Linked DNA regions of Macaca fascicularis. The protein of the gene in region 2 binds, or shares a complex with, the protein of the main gene of each other region. Links are inferred from orthologs where the notes say so. Each region holds a gene or a part of one and is shown on either strand. Other genes may lie near its edges.

Evidence for each region.
Region 1: NSMCE4A (region 2) and NSMCE2 share a complex: the UniProt entries of both Homo sapiens proteins name them as parts of the SMC5-SMC6 complex. The link is inferred for Macaca fascicularis from reciprocal best matches to the Homo sapiens genes NSMCE4A and NSMCE2.
Region 3: NSMCE4A (region 2) and NSMCE3 share a complex: the UniProt entries of both Homo sapiens proteins name them as parts of the SMC5-SMC6 complex. The link is inferred for Macaca fascicularis from reciprocal best matches to the Homo sapiens genes NSMCE4A and NSMCE3.
Region 4: NSMCE4A (region 2) and SMC5 share a complex: the UniProt entries of both Homo sapiens proteins name them as parts of the SMC5-SMC6 complex. The link is inferred for Macaca fascicularis from reciprocal best matches to the Homo sapiens genes NSMCE4A and SMC5.

Annotation. Positions count from the first base shown.
Region 1 is NC_088382.1:134,752,777-134,756,903, forward strand, and holds the start of NSMCE2 (E3 SUMO-protein ligase NSE2), read left to right. Parts: upstream 1-1,327; 5' UTR 1,328-1,445; intron 1,446-4,127. UniProt on the Homo sapiens protein: E3 SUMO-protein ligase component of the SMC5-SMC6 complex, a complex involved in DNA double-strand break repair by homologous recombination. Is not be required for the stability of the complex.
Region 2 is NC_088383.1:130,961,820-130,965,319, reverse strand, and holds part of NSMCE4A (non-structural maintenance of chromosomes element 4 homolog A), read left to right. Parts: intron 1-1,128; coding exon 1,129-1,280; intron 1,281-3,500. UniProt on the Homo sapiens protein: Component of the SMC5-SMC6 complex, a complex involved in DNA double-strand breaks by homologous recombination. The complex may promote sister chromatid homologous recombination by recruiting the SMC1-SMC3 cohesin complex to double-strand breaks.
Region 3 is NC_088381.1:8,207,343-8,210,709, forward strand, and holds NSMCE3 (non-structural maintenance of chromosomes element 3 homolog), read left to right. Parts: upstream 1-1,203; 5' UTR 1,204-1,317; coding exon 1,318-2,217; 3' UTR 2,218-2,867; downstream 2,868-3,367. UniProt on the Homo sapiens protein: Component of the SMC5-SMC6 complex, a complex involved in repair of DNA double-strand breaks by homologous recombination. The complex may promote sister chromatid homologous recombination by recruiting the SMC1-SMC3 cohesin complex to double-strand breaks.
Region 4 is NC_088389.1:100,953,177-100,957,237, reverse strand, and holds the start of SMC5 (structural maintenance of chromosomes protein 5), read right to left. Parts: upstream 2,801-4,061; 5' UTR 2,698-2,800; coding exon 2,513-2,697; intron 1-2,512. UniProt on the Homo sapiens protein: Core component of the SMC5-SMC6 complex, a complex involved in repair of DNA double-strand breaks by homologous recombination.

The DNA of each region.
Region 1 (4,127 bases), on a different chromosome or scaffold from region 2:
TGAAATCCAGAGATCCCACTATATTCTCTTATTTTCTTTTACAAGCGCCAGTAACTTCATTTTTAAGAATTTGGCGTGGAACTGTGATTTTCAGTTTGGGAAGTAATCCTAATCAAAAGACATGCTTTCAAGAATGAGGCATGGCATCATTATACCAATTACCCAGCGTGCAGAATAATATTTCTTAAGGAAATCGAATTGTCGTGGACAAACACTGTTTACCCCCTTCAGAGGACAAAAGAAGGTAGGTCTATATTTAGCCTTTCGCAAAACCTCAGTTCCATAAAGGAAGCACTGATCTCCACAAATCCATTATCACAAACAAAATATAATGGTTGTCGGTCAAAATAAATGCAAGCTGCATATGTTTTCCAGAAAAGTTCTGACATGAGGCTTAACCTGAAATCCTGGGAAAGGCAGGTGAAGGACAATTAGAGAAGGTGTCCCTTGTTGTGCGCAAAGACAGGAAAACTTCTCCCTCACTACCCTTCACCTATGTTTGAGGGAGCTCCATGCGCTTGCAATCAGGAGACCCAGTTCTACGACTCTGTGACTTTTTTTCTTTTTCCTGTCCGATCATAGAGGAATCAGGGCCTTGGGAACATTTCCCCCCCCCCCCCCCCCCCGCCAAATGCAAAGGATTTTGGCATTAGCACAGGTGAAGGCATTAAGACGCAGCGAGCAGCAATGACTTGCCCAAACTCACAGCCCATGGCATAACTAGAATGCAAATCCAGGTCCGTCAGGCTGTAAAAGTCCTCACTACTAGCCTTTCAGTTTTCTCAAAAGCAAAGAGAGAAATAACGACGACATCCACACTGCAGTGTTCCCGGAAACTTGGAAGGATGAGATTCGGACCAAGCAGCCAGCTGAACGGTGCTTCCTAAAGCGAGGAAGGAGTGTGCAAAATGAGTTCCCCCTAAGCGGAGACGAAGAGCTGGACTGCAGCCCCCGCCCCAGAAAGCCCCTAAGCCCTCCATCCCGAGTCCCCCGTCCAGGCTGCACGCGACGCTGGAGACCTCCCCAGGGCCAGCACGGCCCAGCGGGGAGGTGAAAGGGGCCATGCAAAAATGGGGCGCGCTCATCCCATCCCCACTCACCTGTCAGCCGGGCCGCGCCAGCGGCGCACGCGCAGGGCAGGAGGTTGCGCGCGGAGTCGGCACCCAGGTTCCACCCCTCCCTCACGGCGGCGGTCCTCTTCTATCCCCAGTCCCGGACCTGGAACGGGTCAGAGCCGGGCTTCCGCCCCTGACTTCCAGGACGGTCACATGACCGAAGCGGCGGTGAGCAGGGAGGGGCATCATGTGACCACTCGCCGGCGACGGATGATGACGCAAGAGCCCGCGCTCACTTTTCAGCTACAGGCGAAGGGGGCTGAGGAAAGGAGGTGGGTACAAGTAGGGAAAGTTGGGGTGCCACCAGACGGAGACAACTCGGACAACCAGGTAGGGAAGAAGCGGGGGACGGCAATGGGGAAGGTGGCGGGAATTGTCGCCTCCCTCAGGGACACTCCACGGGGACCCCGAGCCGGGAATTCGTCGACCTGGATTATGGTTGTGGCCCTTTTCACGCCACAGTAGTGAGTCTGGGACAGTTTACCCTCCTGTCCGAGGCGCCATCTCTCCATCCGTTAGCCACAAGTGTGTAAGGGCAAGATCACGAATTTTTGATCCAAATAGATGTGGTTTGAACTGACTTTAAAAGTAAGGCCACGGGAAGGTCGTTTGAATAAACTCTCTGGACCTCAGTTTCCTCTTCACTTATGTAGATTGCAGTGAGAATTAGCGATAAGGAGAATGAAGTGCCAGGACACCAGTTTATGGCATTCTGTAGGTGACCGAGAAATGATGATGTCTGTTGTTATTTTTGTAACTCGCCAAATCTTTATTGGTCCCCTATTTTGTGTGAAGAACTGCTTTATATGCAATAGAATATGTCAGGGTTCTAGTTTAAGGAGCTTTCAGTGTAAAGAAGCTGCAGACATGTGAGCAAATAGTTGTGATGAGTTTCATAATGGGAGTGTGTTGTGTACATGTGCATGTGATAGGAATAATGGTAGCATGGGGGAGGGAACAAGCAATTGTATGAGAAGGATTCAGAGAGAAGGGTATAGCCTTGCATGCTGAAAAAGGAGAGGCAGCTCTGGCTGACTTGTACAAGGTTCCCGTGGATTTAAAGGAAGTCAGCATATTGTCTATAAATAACATGCAGAGAAAAAACTCAGGAAATGCACAACTTGTTCTAAACTTTCTTGGAGATCATAGGTATTGGGAAGAAAAGATCAGTGTTATTACATGGGAAGGGATCCAAGAGAGATTGATTTAAATCAGTTATTCTCAACTGATGCGCTATTGACATTTTAGGCCAGATAATTTTTTCCTGTGGGGTGGGGGTGAGGGCTGTCCTGTGTATTGTAGGACGTTTGAGAGTATCCCTGGCCTCTGCCCACTAGATGCCAACCATAATGTCTACAGATATTGCTACATGTCCCTTGGGAGAGGGGTAAAATCTTTCTTGGTTGAGAACCACTTAAACCAAGCCATGAGAGATGGTGTCTTAGTCAGTGTGGGCTTCTATAACAAAATGCCATAAACTAGGTAGTTTACGAACAACGGAAATTTATTTCTCACAGTTCTGGAGGCTGGAAAGTCCAAGGTCAGGGTGCCAGCAGATTTAGTGTCTCGCAAGGGCCTGTTTCCTGGTTCATAGGTGGCTTCTTGCTGTGTCCTCACACGGTGGAATGGCAAAGCAGCTCTCTGGAGCATCTTCTAAAAGGGCACTAATTTTATTCATGAAAGTGGGCCTAATCGCCTCCCAAAAGGCCCCACCTCCTCATACCATCACCTTAGGAGTTAGGATTTCAACATATAAATTTTGGGTGACACAAACATTCAGACTTTAGCATATGGGTAAGATGTGGGCAGATAGAAAACTGAAGAAAGAGCCTGGTACGGTGGCTCACACCTGTAATCCCAGCACTTTGGGAGGCCAAGGAGGGCGGATCACTTGAGGTGGGGTGTTTTGAGACTAACCTGGTCAACATAGCGAAACCCTGTCTCTACTAAAAATACAATAAATAAATAAATAAATAAATAAATAAATAAATAAAATAACCAGTGTGTTCTGGCGCACACCTGTAATCCCAGCTACTCAGGAGGCTGAGGCAGGAGAATCCCTTGAACCCAGGAAGCAGAGGTTGAGGTGAGCCGAGATCATGCCACTGCACTCCAGCTTGGACGACAGAGCGAAACTCTGTCTCAAAAAATAAATAAATAAAAAGAAAGAAAACTGAAGAGATGGTTTTCTCATGGTGGGAGCAGGATGAACAAAGTCCTTTTTTCCTTTTTGGAGACAGCGTCTCACTCTTATTGCCCAGGCTAGAGTGCAGTAGCATGATCATAGCTTACTGCAGCCTTGGACTCCTGGACCCAAGGGGTCCTCCCACCTCGGCCTCCCAAGGGGCTAGGACAATAGGTGCAAGCCACCATGTCTGTGTTGTTTGGTTTTTTTTTTTTGAGATGGGGTCTCGCTGTGTTGCCCAGGCTAGTCTTGAGCTCCTGGCCTCAAGCAGTCTTCCTGCCTTGCCCTTTCAAAGTGCTGGGATTATAGGCATGAGCCACCGCGCCCAGCCTGAACAAAGTCTGGAGGTGAGTTCAAGAATATTGAGTATGAAGGGGAGAAGGAAACACGAGAGCTGTGCATCTGACCGAAGCAGTTTATTCATTTATTGATAGTTTCAGAGCACTTGCTGTTTATGAAGCACTGCGAACATCTTGCAAGATAGTTACTAACAAAGTAGAGTTACTGCCAAAGGCTATAATTATATCAAAGAGGATGCTGTTAGAGTCAGAGAAAGGAGTTGTCTTTGACTTGTACTTAGCTGTATTTATTGGGAGGAATTGAGAAAAGTATGTCTATTCCATCTTTCTGCACCATCCATTGTCTTTGCTTTTCAATTCAGTCTGTCTTAATCTTTTCCCTACTCCAGAATTACAGAAAAGCATGGTCATGTTTTCCTTGGTCCTCTGCAAGAGTGAAGTTTCACTCAAGTAATGTGAGTTTTGCATTCAACCAAGTAGTGACAACTACTGTTTGGTATATACTTTCCATTTATACTGGATTGCATT
Region 2 (3,500 bases):
CTTTCTTATGTATAACATCAAATATAGACACTGTAAGGGAAGATTGGTGGATCTCTCTGTCAGTTAAACAGACCAAAACTGCCACATCCACCTACAAGGGTGCCGTGGTAGGACAGGCGGCAAGGGAACAGAGAAGAGCAGGCTCTTGTAGTCGTTCTTTAAAGTCTGGTTGCCTTTAATAGGGTTAAGCTCCCCGAGGGTCTTGTGATTATTGTTTATATATGATATTGCCATTATAACTGCATAACTTCTAGGCATTTTACAGTGTAATGTAATAAAAATGGACTTTCATAAGAGTAAATTCAATATAACACATTTTCTGTAAGACAGTTTGAGATGAAAGAATTATTTGACTTCCGTCTACTCTTCCCAGGAAGGGAATTTTAAGATGAGCCATTCTCTCAGTAATGCCGGGCCACTGCTCTCTGGATATACTGCGATACAAGCTGAATAGAGATTTGTAGGACGTTTGCAAAAAATTAAAATCTGAACACCAGCCGAACTTGCTGGTGCTGTCGTGAAGCTTTTGATTTGGGATTTAATTTTATATTTGTATGCTAGTGCAGCTTTACTAATACATGAACTATTGGCGATACAGAAATTCCCAGGGGGCTGAGTTCCGGCGTACCTAAATCACTCTGCCTGCCAGTGGGCTAGAGTAGGGTTTCTCAGCACTGACACTATTGATTGACATTTGGAGCTGGGCATGTCTTTGTTTTGGGGGCCGGTACTGTGCATTGTATGATATTCAGCAGCTTCCGTGGCCTCTACCCAGTAGATGCCAGTAGCATATCAGTTGTGACACCCAAAAATATCTCCAGGTATTGCCAAAAGACCCCTGTGGGCAAGTATACCCAGGTTGAGAACCACTAGTCTAAATCATTTCACTTTCTCACCCAAAGGTTTTAAGTACATTGAGGAATATTTTCTGCCAAAAAGAAGGTAGCTTTGAAAAGAGGACTTTAACTGTAAAATTATCTTTACAATGAGAAATTTAGCCAGCATATTAAGACAGTGAAAGCAGGCTTTGCGTCTGGCCTCTTAAAGGTTGAGTGATGCAGATTATTGGATGTGGACAATGATTGCATGTGGCTTAACTGGGTTTTTTGTTTTCCTTCATTTTTGTAGCTCACACATATGGGTGTAAATCCGCTAGAAGCTGAAGAACTTATCCGTGATGAAGATAGTCCTGATTTTGAATTCATCGTCTATGACTCCTGGAAAATATCAGGCAAAACAGCAGAAAACACCTTTAATAAAACCCATACATTCCACTTTCTGTAAGATTATTTTAAAAATCCAACAGACCAGCTATTTGTGAACCTTAAATTGTTTTTTGTTGTAGGGACAAAGATTATTTGGTATTGTAGAGGTGACAGTCATGATGCCGTTGTTTGGAGACTTGAAACTTTGATATAAAAGTTCATAAACACTACTCCGGGCATGGTGGCTCACGCCTTTAATCCCGGCACTTTGGGAGGTGGATACAGGTAGATCATCTGAGCTCAGGAATTCAAGATCAGCCTGGGCAACATGGCGAGAACCCATCTCTACCAAAAATACAAAAAATTAGCCCGCTGTGGTGGCCCATGCCTGTGGTCCTGGCTACTTGGGAGGCTGAGGTGGGAGGATCACTTGAGCCTGGGAGGCAGAGATTGCAGTGAGCTGAGATGGTGCCACTGCACTCTGGCCTGGGTGACAGAGTGAGACCCTGTCTCAAAAAAAAGAAAAGTCCATAAACTCTAGATGTGGGTGGAACCTTAAAGGATCTCTCATTCTGCTTTAGCAGAAAAGGCCAGAACCTCTTTACCAGTGTTCTCTCCTGGCTCCTTTGCTTCTAGCTCATGAGGCTCTGGGTTTATCATCTTTAAAATCCTTACCATATAGGAGGATGATACCTCCTACTGAGGGTATCTTACAAGTCTCCTAATGTCTAAAATGACATGTATTATAATACCCTGTTGGATGACCACTGACTTGTATTTGAAGATTACTTGTCACTGCCACATAAACTGCCCTGTTCATTTTTTTTTTTTTTTTTTTTTTTTTTTTTTTTTTGAGACGGAGTCTCACGCTGTTGCCCAGGCTAGAGTGCAGTGGCGTGATCTCGGCTCACTGCAAGCTCCGCCTCCTGGGTTCACGCCATTCTCCTGCCTCAGCCTCCTGAGTAGCTGGGACTACAGGCGCCCGCCACCGCGCCCGGCTAATTTTTTGTATTTTTAGTAGAGACGGGGTTTCACTGTGGTTTCGATCTCCTGACCTTGTGATCCGCCCACCTCGGCCTCCCAAAGTGCTGGGATTACAGGCTTGAGCCACCGCGCCCGGCCTTTTTTTTTTTTTTTTTTTTGAGACGGAGTCTCGCTCTGTCGCCCAGGCTGGAGTGCAGTGGCCCGATCTCGGCTCACTGCAAGCTCCGCCTCCCGGGTTCACGCCATTCTCCTGCCTCAGCCTCCCGAGTAGCTGGGACTACAGGCGCCCACAACCGCGCCCGGCTAATTTTTTGTATTTTTAGTAGAGACGGGGTTTCACCGTGGTCTCGATCTCCTGACCTTGTGATCCGCCCGCCTCGGCCTCCCAAAGTGCTGGGATTACAGGCGTGAGCCACCGCGCCCGGCTGCCCTGTTCATTTTTTAGATAGAACTCTGATTTTAAAAAAAGATTTCTTCATATTCGAATGAAGTTGGCTTCTGTCTTAACTTCCTGGCATGGTCCTATGGAACAGCTCTTACTGGCTCTTCTCTAAGAGGACCTTCAAGTATATTGGTTTTGTTGCCCAGTAGATACTTTCTCTAGGGGTAGCCATCTGAGTTGTTCAGTCCTCCTTTAAGTGGTATAGCTCCTGGGCATTTGTCTTTTCTAATTTGTCTTTTTAAAAACCTTTGAGATTGGTAATGGCTCGGGTAGAAGGCCTTGGAGATGCCAAAGTAGTAGTGTGGTGTGGGATCTGGCATCTATTTTTAGTAAGACTTCAGGTAACTCAGGTGCCCAGAGCCATTTGTGTATGTTCTATTTAATAGGATACCGACGAAACTTCTTTATCTTAACGATAAAGTCTAAATCTTTGTTTTTTGCTATCGTACTAAACTCATAAATCCTAGGTTATAAAGATAAAGCCTTAAACTTTATCTCATCATCCAGCCCAATTTCCAGCCACAATGAAGTACTTAAAACTGTGTCTTTGTACTTGCTGTTCTCTTGGCCTCCAATTCCTTTTCATCTTTCCCATTCGGTAAAGTTTGTTTATCCAGCAGGCCCCATCTTGGAAGCCTCCAGCAACTTCTCCAGACAGAGATGTTAGCAGTGTAGGATCAGATTTCCCAACCACGTCACTCCCATGTCTGGGTAGATATTTCTGCCCAGGTGTTCTCACAGCACTTGAGCAGTACTCTCTAAGCACCCAGGATCTACCATGTTACTTTTTTAAAATTTGATTAATTTATTTTTTGATACTGCTCCTTGTGGAGCAGGAGTGTGCCCAGAGTAACCCACCATGTGATGCT
Region 3 (3,367 bases), on a different chromosome or scaffold from region 2:
TTTAATAAGGTTGTGTTTGATGCTATTATTCAGATAATGTGTTCTAAATTGCTTTCCTTTGAATATATTTGCATTAAAGAGGAACTCGATTTGGTTCTTTGAAGAGTTTATCCACTTTCTGGGTAGCTTTAAAAAGACACAGGGAAATTCAGTTTCTTCTTTGCAAGTCAATAAATAGAGAAGAAACAAATTTGCTAAGATCTGTAGAAGTAATGGCAGCAGATTGCTGATGGTTTGAGTTAATGAAATGACTCATTTTGGCTACTTGAGTTGCACAATTAAAATATACATAGACTGCACACATCATAGATGAGGGATAAATACCCCTGTGTTCTCTTTTCTTTCTCAAAGCTAATATATTATGAATTAAGAAATTTAAGAGATCCACATTATTGCAATTCTTGATCAGTGATGCCCAAAATTAAGTGGTAATCTCTTGAGAGTGCACGTTTGCAGCATTCCTCTTACGCATTTCTGCTAAAATTGTGGCTGTGAGCTGAAGGCAGTTGTTTTCCAAAGGATAAACTCATTTGACCAAGCTAAAACATTTACTTAATATTGACAAATTTTGTGGGGTTTTCTCATAGTTGTCTAGCTAAAGGAGTTTAATGCAGAGAATACACATACGGAAATAGTGAAACCGAAGTCCTGCTTGCGCGGAAAGCCTGCAGCAGACTTTTGTTTTTAACAAACTCCACGGGGCATTAGAGAAAGTAACTGGGGGCAGTGGGTTGGAGGGTATAAAATTGAGCGGAGGGACGAAAACTAAGAGCCCTCTGGGTTTTTTATATCCTTCTACATGTTGTGTAGAAATAAATGCTTTTACTTCCACGGTCGTACCTTCCTCTTCACCTTTTTTTTTTTCTTTCTCACACATTCATCCTGTGAGATCTTTTCATTTACAAATGCTCCCGATTTAGAATTAGAAACTCATAATACCGTCTGTAAAACTTGCCTGAGCCTGTCTGGTCCTGAATTTAGCGACACACTTGTTTAGGAGTTTCGGTTCTCGTTCTCTGCTTGCATGGTTTAGTAAGAACAACACTTCGCTATACTGAAATTCACCGACCAGACCTGCAGGGCTGCACAGAAATCTCGGATGCTTTTGGTACCCCCAGCCCCGCAGCCGCGCAGGCGCACCGCCCAGCCGCCGTGACGCAAGGCGCAGGCTTCATGACGCGGCACGCAGTCTCAGCCGACACTGCGCGCCCCTTCTGGGGCCCCGCCCAGGCAGCGGCCTTAGCGGGTCGCCGACCCGCGATCCCAGCCGCGGCTGCTTGCTTGCCGGAGTGTGCACCGGTACGCGTCGCCGGTGACATGTTGCAAAAACCGAGGAACCGGGGTCGCTCTGGCGGCCAGGCCGAGAGGGACAGCGACTGGAGCCGTGGCGGAAACTCCGGGGCCTCGCGGGCGGGCGAACACGCCCGGGCCCGCAGAGACGGCTTCGCAGAGGAGGCCCCGAGCACTTCCCGGGGGCCGGGCGGCTCGCAGGGGTCGCAGGGCGCCCGCCGGTCCCAGGCCTCCCCCGCCGTGGGCCCCAGGACCCAGAAGCAGCAGGAGCTGAAAGTGTCCGAGCTGGTGCAGTTCTTACTGATTAAGGACCAGAAGAAGATTCCGATCAAGCGGGCCGACATACTGAAGCACGTCATCGGGGACTACAAGGACATCTTCCCCGACCTCCTCAAACGGGCCGCCGAGCGCCTCCAGTACGTCTTCGGTTATAAGCTGGTGGAACTTGAACCCAAGAGCAACACTTACATCCTCATCAACACCCTGGAGCCGGTGGAGGAGGATGCCGAGGTGAGGGGTGACCAAGGCACGCCCACTACGGGCCTCCTGATGATCGTCCTGGGGCTCATCTTTATGAAGGGCAACACCGTCAAGGAGACTGAAGTCTGGGACTTTCTGCGGCGCTTAGGGGTCTACCCCACCAAGAAGCATTTCATTTTCGGAGATCCAAAGAAACTCATTACCGAGGACTTTGTGCGACAACGTTACCTGGAATACCGGCGGATACCCCACACCGACCCCGTGGACTACGAGTTCCAGTGGGGCCCGCGAACCAACCTGGAAACCAGCAAGATGAAAGTTCTTAAGTTTGTGGCCAAAGTCCATAATCAAGACCCCAAGGACTGGCCAGCGCAGTACTGTGAGGCGTTGGCAGATGAGGAGAACAGGGCCAGACCTCAGCCCAGTGGCTCAGCCCCATCCTCTTGAAATCTGAGGTGGATTCAGAGGGACCCCCGGGACAAGGGTCTGAGACCCAAAGGCACAGTGCAGAGGAGCGGGGGAAGGGAGAACGAACCCAGGAAGCGTATTTCTGTAGCGTTTCAATGTGTGTAGCTTTAGGATGTGTTTGCAAAGTTTTGTTCTTTTAATGTTGTGTTATTTGGTTCCAGATTTTCATCTATAAACAAAGGAGCATTTGTTTTGCTTTGATTTTACTTTTTTTGGTATAAAAAATTTTCCTAGCTTAGTAAAACGAATTGGAAAACTTGACTATGATCTGAAACAGATATGCCAGAAGGAACACATAAGTAAGTTGCTTTGGTGCCAAGAAAATAAAAAAGTAGCTATTATCGGGTCTCTTAAGCATCCCAGTTTGTAAGGAAAAATAAAAGTCTTTATAAAATTAAAAATAAAAACGTAATTGCCTATATCCTTATTACCTTAACCTATTTTATTTTTTCTATATTTCCTACATATGTAAGTATTATTCATGGTTCCAAGCAATGAACGTGGTGTATTTTCTCCAAATAGCAATTGTTTATATTCATAATTACTCAGCTGTGTTGCTAAACATGCAGTTCCACTTAGTTTTTTTTACATGCTACTCTAGTTATTACAATAAATACTGTATTTTTGAAGCACTGAAGCATTGTGTGTTTTTTAAATCGTGGGCCATGAGACAATTTCATGACGAAATCAGCGTCTTAAAGTTTTTGCAACATATTGAGGTCAATGTTGTTTTGTAGAAGTTGTTTTACTTTTGTGTGTGTGTGTACAGGATCATGAGGTAAAATATATTTCTACTGTGGATACCAAAAAGGCTTATAAAACAATAGCGTAACCATTAACCATGCCTGCTTGGGAATCAGACTGCCTGGGTTCAGATCCTGGCCCCACCGTCACTAGTATAGGAATTTACGTAGGTTCCTTAGTTTGTATGCAGATGTTTCTTGACCTGTAAAATGGGTTTAGTCCCTGATGTGGAGGAATTTGCTTGTTATTCTTTAATGTTTTTATTTTTTATTCTCGGTCTGGAGCTGCCACTTTTTAAATACAACTTTTCTTTATCTTGTTTTCCAAATGATTCCTAGGAGAGCAATTACTGGTTCAAAAGGTATATTCCGCTAGTCTGACTCTA
Region 4 (4,061 bases), on a different chromosome or scaffold from region 2:
CTGAATAGTTCCTTCTGGCTTTGAGTCCTTCCTCCTTTCACCCTTAAAAGCAGGCATTCTCCCAAGACCCTGTACATGGTCTTCTAGTCCTTCAATTTATAATTCCTATTGAGCAATCATAACCAGTTCTGCAACTTCATCAATCACCTGTATGCATGACTCCCAAATCTCTCATCCGTTCATACTTTCCTCTAAGCTCCAGACTCTTATATTCTGCCTATAGAACATCTCTCTTAGATACTCCAAAGGAAACTTCAAATCACAGGATCTAAGAGGCATTTATTATTCTCCTCAAACTGCTCTCTCTTCTGAATAGCATCTGACCAATTAGCTAAGGCAAACACCTGGGAAAAATGCTGCATTCCTCCCTTTCCCCCATGCCTCAATTATTCTGTAGCTGGATCCTGCCAAATCTCATTCCTTCACACTCTGATCATCTCTTGCCTTCGTATTGTCTTTTTGCTTCCAATCTTGCACCCTTTCTAAATCATCCTCCGCAGTGCTTCCAGAATAACATAAAACACATGTCATTCCCTGTTGAAAACACACCGTGGCTGCCTACAGGATGCTGCTGGAACTTCTTAGCATAGTAAACATACAGGTCTCTCAATGGTTGCTTACCCTGTCCAAATACTCACTCACATCCTATACTCTTGCCTTACTAAAACACTTGACACTTTCTAAATATACCAAACTATTTCAGACCGTTCCTTCTGTCTTCAATGCTCTTCACTTCTTTTAAGACTTTCCTATCTTCTCAGGCGGGTGCAGTGGCTCACGCCTGTAATCCCAGCACTTTGGGAGGCCGAGGTGAGTTGCTTGAGCCCAGAAGTTCGAGACTTGCCTGGGCAACATGGTGACACCCCATCTCTACAAAAAATTTTTAAAACATTAGCCAGGTATGGTATGCGCCTATAGTCCCAGCTACCTGAAAGGCTGAGGTAGGAGGATCACTTGAGAAGGGGAGGTACAGGCTTCACTGAGCCCTGATCATGCCACTGAGCTCCAGCGTGGGCAACAGAGCAAGAACAAAGACTTTCATATCTTCTCTACAAAGCCCTTTCTCATACTCGTGGACAAAACTAACCACTTCATCCTTTGTGAAGGATCCTGATATATATGTTGTTATGGTATCTAACTCATTTGATTACATTTATCTTTCCTGATCTGGATTCAAATAGCAATGCAACTACTTAACAGCTGTGTAAAACTGGGCAAAACAACCTACTGAGCTTCTTTCAGCAATGGAAATTATCAAGATAGAGTTGTTATGAAGAAAGAATGAGTGCACTGTGTACCTGGCACACAACAGGTGCCTGAAAACAAAAAAGGTAGTATTGTTAAAATACAATTCTGTTATCCTTATGCCACTATGTGCAAGTTTAAAAAAGACTTCAGGGCGGACACGGTGGCTCACGCCTATAATCCCAGCACCATGGGGGCGTGCAGATCCCCTGAAGTCAAAAGTTCCAGATCAGCCTGGTCAGCATGGTGAAACCCCGTGTCTACTAAAAATACAACAACAACAACAAAAAAATTGCTGGGCGTGGTGGGGGGTGCCTGTAATCCCAGCTACTCGGTGAGGCAGGAGAATCGCTTGAAACTGGGAGGCGGAGGTTGCAGTGGGCCGAGATTGCGCCACTATCCTCCAGCCCGGACGACAGTATGAGATTCCGTCTCAAAAACAAAAATTAGCCGGGCGTGGTGGCGCGCACCTACAGTCCCAGCTACTCGGGAGGCTGACCCAGGAGCCTGAAACCGAGAGGCAGAAGTTGCAGCGGGCCGAGGTAGCGCCACAGCACTCCATCCACCGTGGGCGACAAGAGCGAAACTCCGTCTCAAAAAAAAAAAAAAAGACGACTTGGAACAGATTCACTGTGAGGTGCTAGACAAATACATGATATATTTAAAACTTACTAAATTCTAAAGTGATAACTAGTTGTCTGAAGGAGAGAGGGAGGAACCAGGGAAGAAAGCTGGGTTTAGAGGGGTCAAGGGTCAAGATCCAACAATTGCCAGGAAGGTTTAATTTTTTTGTACTTGTAACCTCCCATCCCAAACAACCTTTACCGTCTTATCTACTCCTCTGTGGCAAATGCCTACCCTAAGAATCTGCCACAGCATCCCCACCACGCCGAATTAACTGTTGCCTCCTCGTAAATTCCCGGGGACAATACTTCTGTGAATTACAGACCAGGGCCGCTATGGATCGCGACTCCCAGCGGGCAGAGACCTACTCCCTCGTACAACTACTACCTGCTACAAGACGCTTTTGGAAAACCTTGGCGGACTAAATTTAAAAACCACATCACGTAAGGCACACATCTACATCATACACGTCAATCTCCACAGCCTTCGTAGAAAAATCCTCATGGGAACCCCGGCACGAATTCAAGGCCAGACCCACAAGCCAGGTACACACCCACACGCCCACGCCCGCGCGCAGCCGGCGCCCCGGGGCCTGCTGGACCGCACGCCTCCACACCCGCGGCGCGGCCTCCCGGCCACTCACAGGAAGTTCTCCATCGAGATACGGACGATAGAGCCCTCCACGAAAGGCCCGGACGACTGCACCAGCGGCAGCTGCGGGGCCGGATTCTTCCTCTTGCTCGGGACCTCCGACGAAGGGTCTCTCGGGAGAGCTCTCTTGGAAGCCTGGGGGCTTGGAGTTGACGTCTTCTTGCTTGGAGTCGCCATCCTGGCTTTCTCAGCGCCCCACAGCGACTTCCGTTCCCACCGTCCGGCAGCCCAGGCGCCCAAGCGCCCCAGCGCCCGGCTCCCGCGCGAACTGCCGCGAACTGCTCCCGCGCGCTCGCTCCCGCGATCTCGCGCCGCGCCTGCTCAGTTCAGATCCGGAGCGTCAGCGGGCCCACCCAGCGCCTCCTGCTCTCCGCCTCGCAGAACTAGGGCCCGACTAAGGGCGGAGCAGCAGACGGGACTGAGTGGGGACCTCGGGGGACGTGGCAACGGGAGTTTCTTCTCTGTATATTTCAGCATTCAGATCCTTTTTTGTTTTTTTTCCACTCAGGAAAAGATGTCAATTGCATTTAGTATTTTGAAAGCCACTTTATTGCTTCCCGAGCCTCAGTCATGTGTGGTGGGAGGCAGCTGTGGGGGGCACCAGGGGCGTCCAGGGCCGCCAAGGCCAGGGGTACGTTAGGCCCTGCTTGCTCCCACCCCTTCCAGGTGCCCACCTGAGAGCTCCCGGGCACGCCCATCCTTGGCTCTTCGTCCTCTTGGTTTTCTTCCCCGTTGCTTCAAATCAGGTCCCTGTCTCAAAAACCCCGAAAAAGAAATACTCTCAAATAACTCTGCCCGACGCTCCGTGAAGGCATCGTGCTAGGCGTTCTCAAACTCGTGGAACGACTACACTGCACAGGTTATCCTCATTGCTTCTCTGCTCCTTGCTTCCTAATTCTCTGGTTAAACTTCCGCCCCCGAGGTTTCTAGAAATCCCTGAGCTAGAATGCGCAGCCTTCATTAACAGGGTGGTTCTGCTTCCGTCTGCTCACATTCATCTAGTAAGCCCTCGCTTTAAAGAGGAGGCGGCGCACCGAGGCCTGCCTAGATCTTTCCTTCAACTAATAATGAGTGTCTAACCTACAAGAAACTGGAGCCGTGGCAGTTTAGAAGCCTGCCAAGGTTGCATCCCTGGGAACTTATTTTCTGTTGTGGGAGACAGGAAAAGAACAAGTGAATCAACTGAAATTAAAAAATTCCAACTTAAAGCTGTTGGAACTTGAAATTATTCAGAGCCTTGCGAAGAATGTGGCTACGGGGCCTGAGTCCTATGGCGTACAGCTGCAATGTCTGCCTTGTTTTTTCCTGTAAATAATCAGGAAGACCAAACAGAGACAGAGGTAAGACCCCCTCAGATCACTATCCCTCTTCATAGATTAATATAGTTATCCTCCTTGGAATGGAGATATCTATAACTAATCTAGTCGCTGTGTTTTATGCTTTGGTCTTGTATTGAAAATGTACTCCTGCTGAACCTTCTCTGCTTCTGCCTACGTAAATGAAACCTTAACTTCACTTTGGAACATTGACCTTATTTGTTT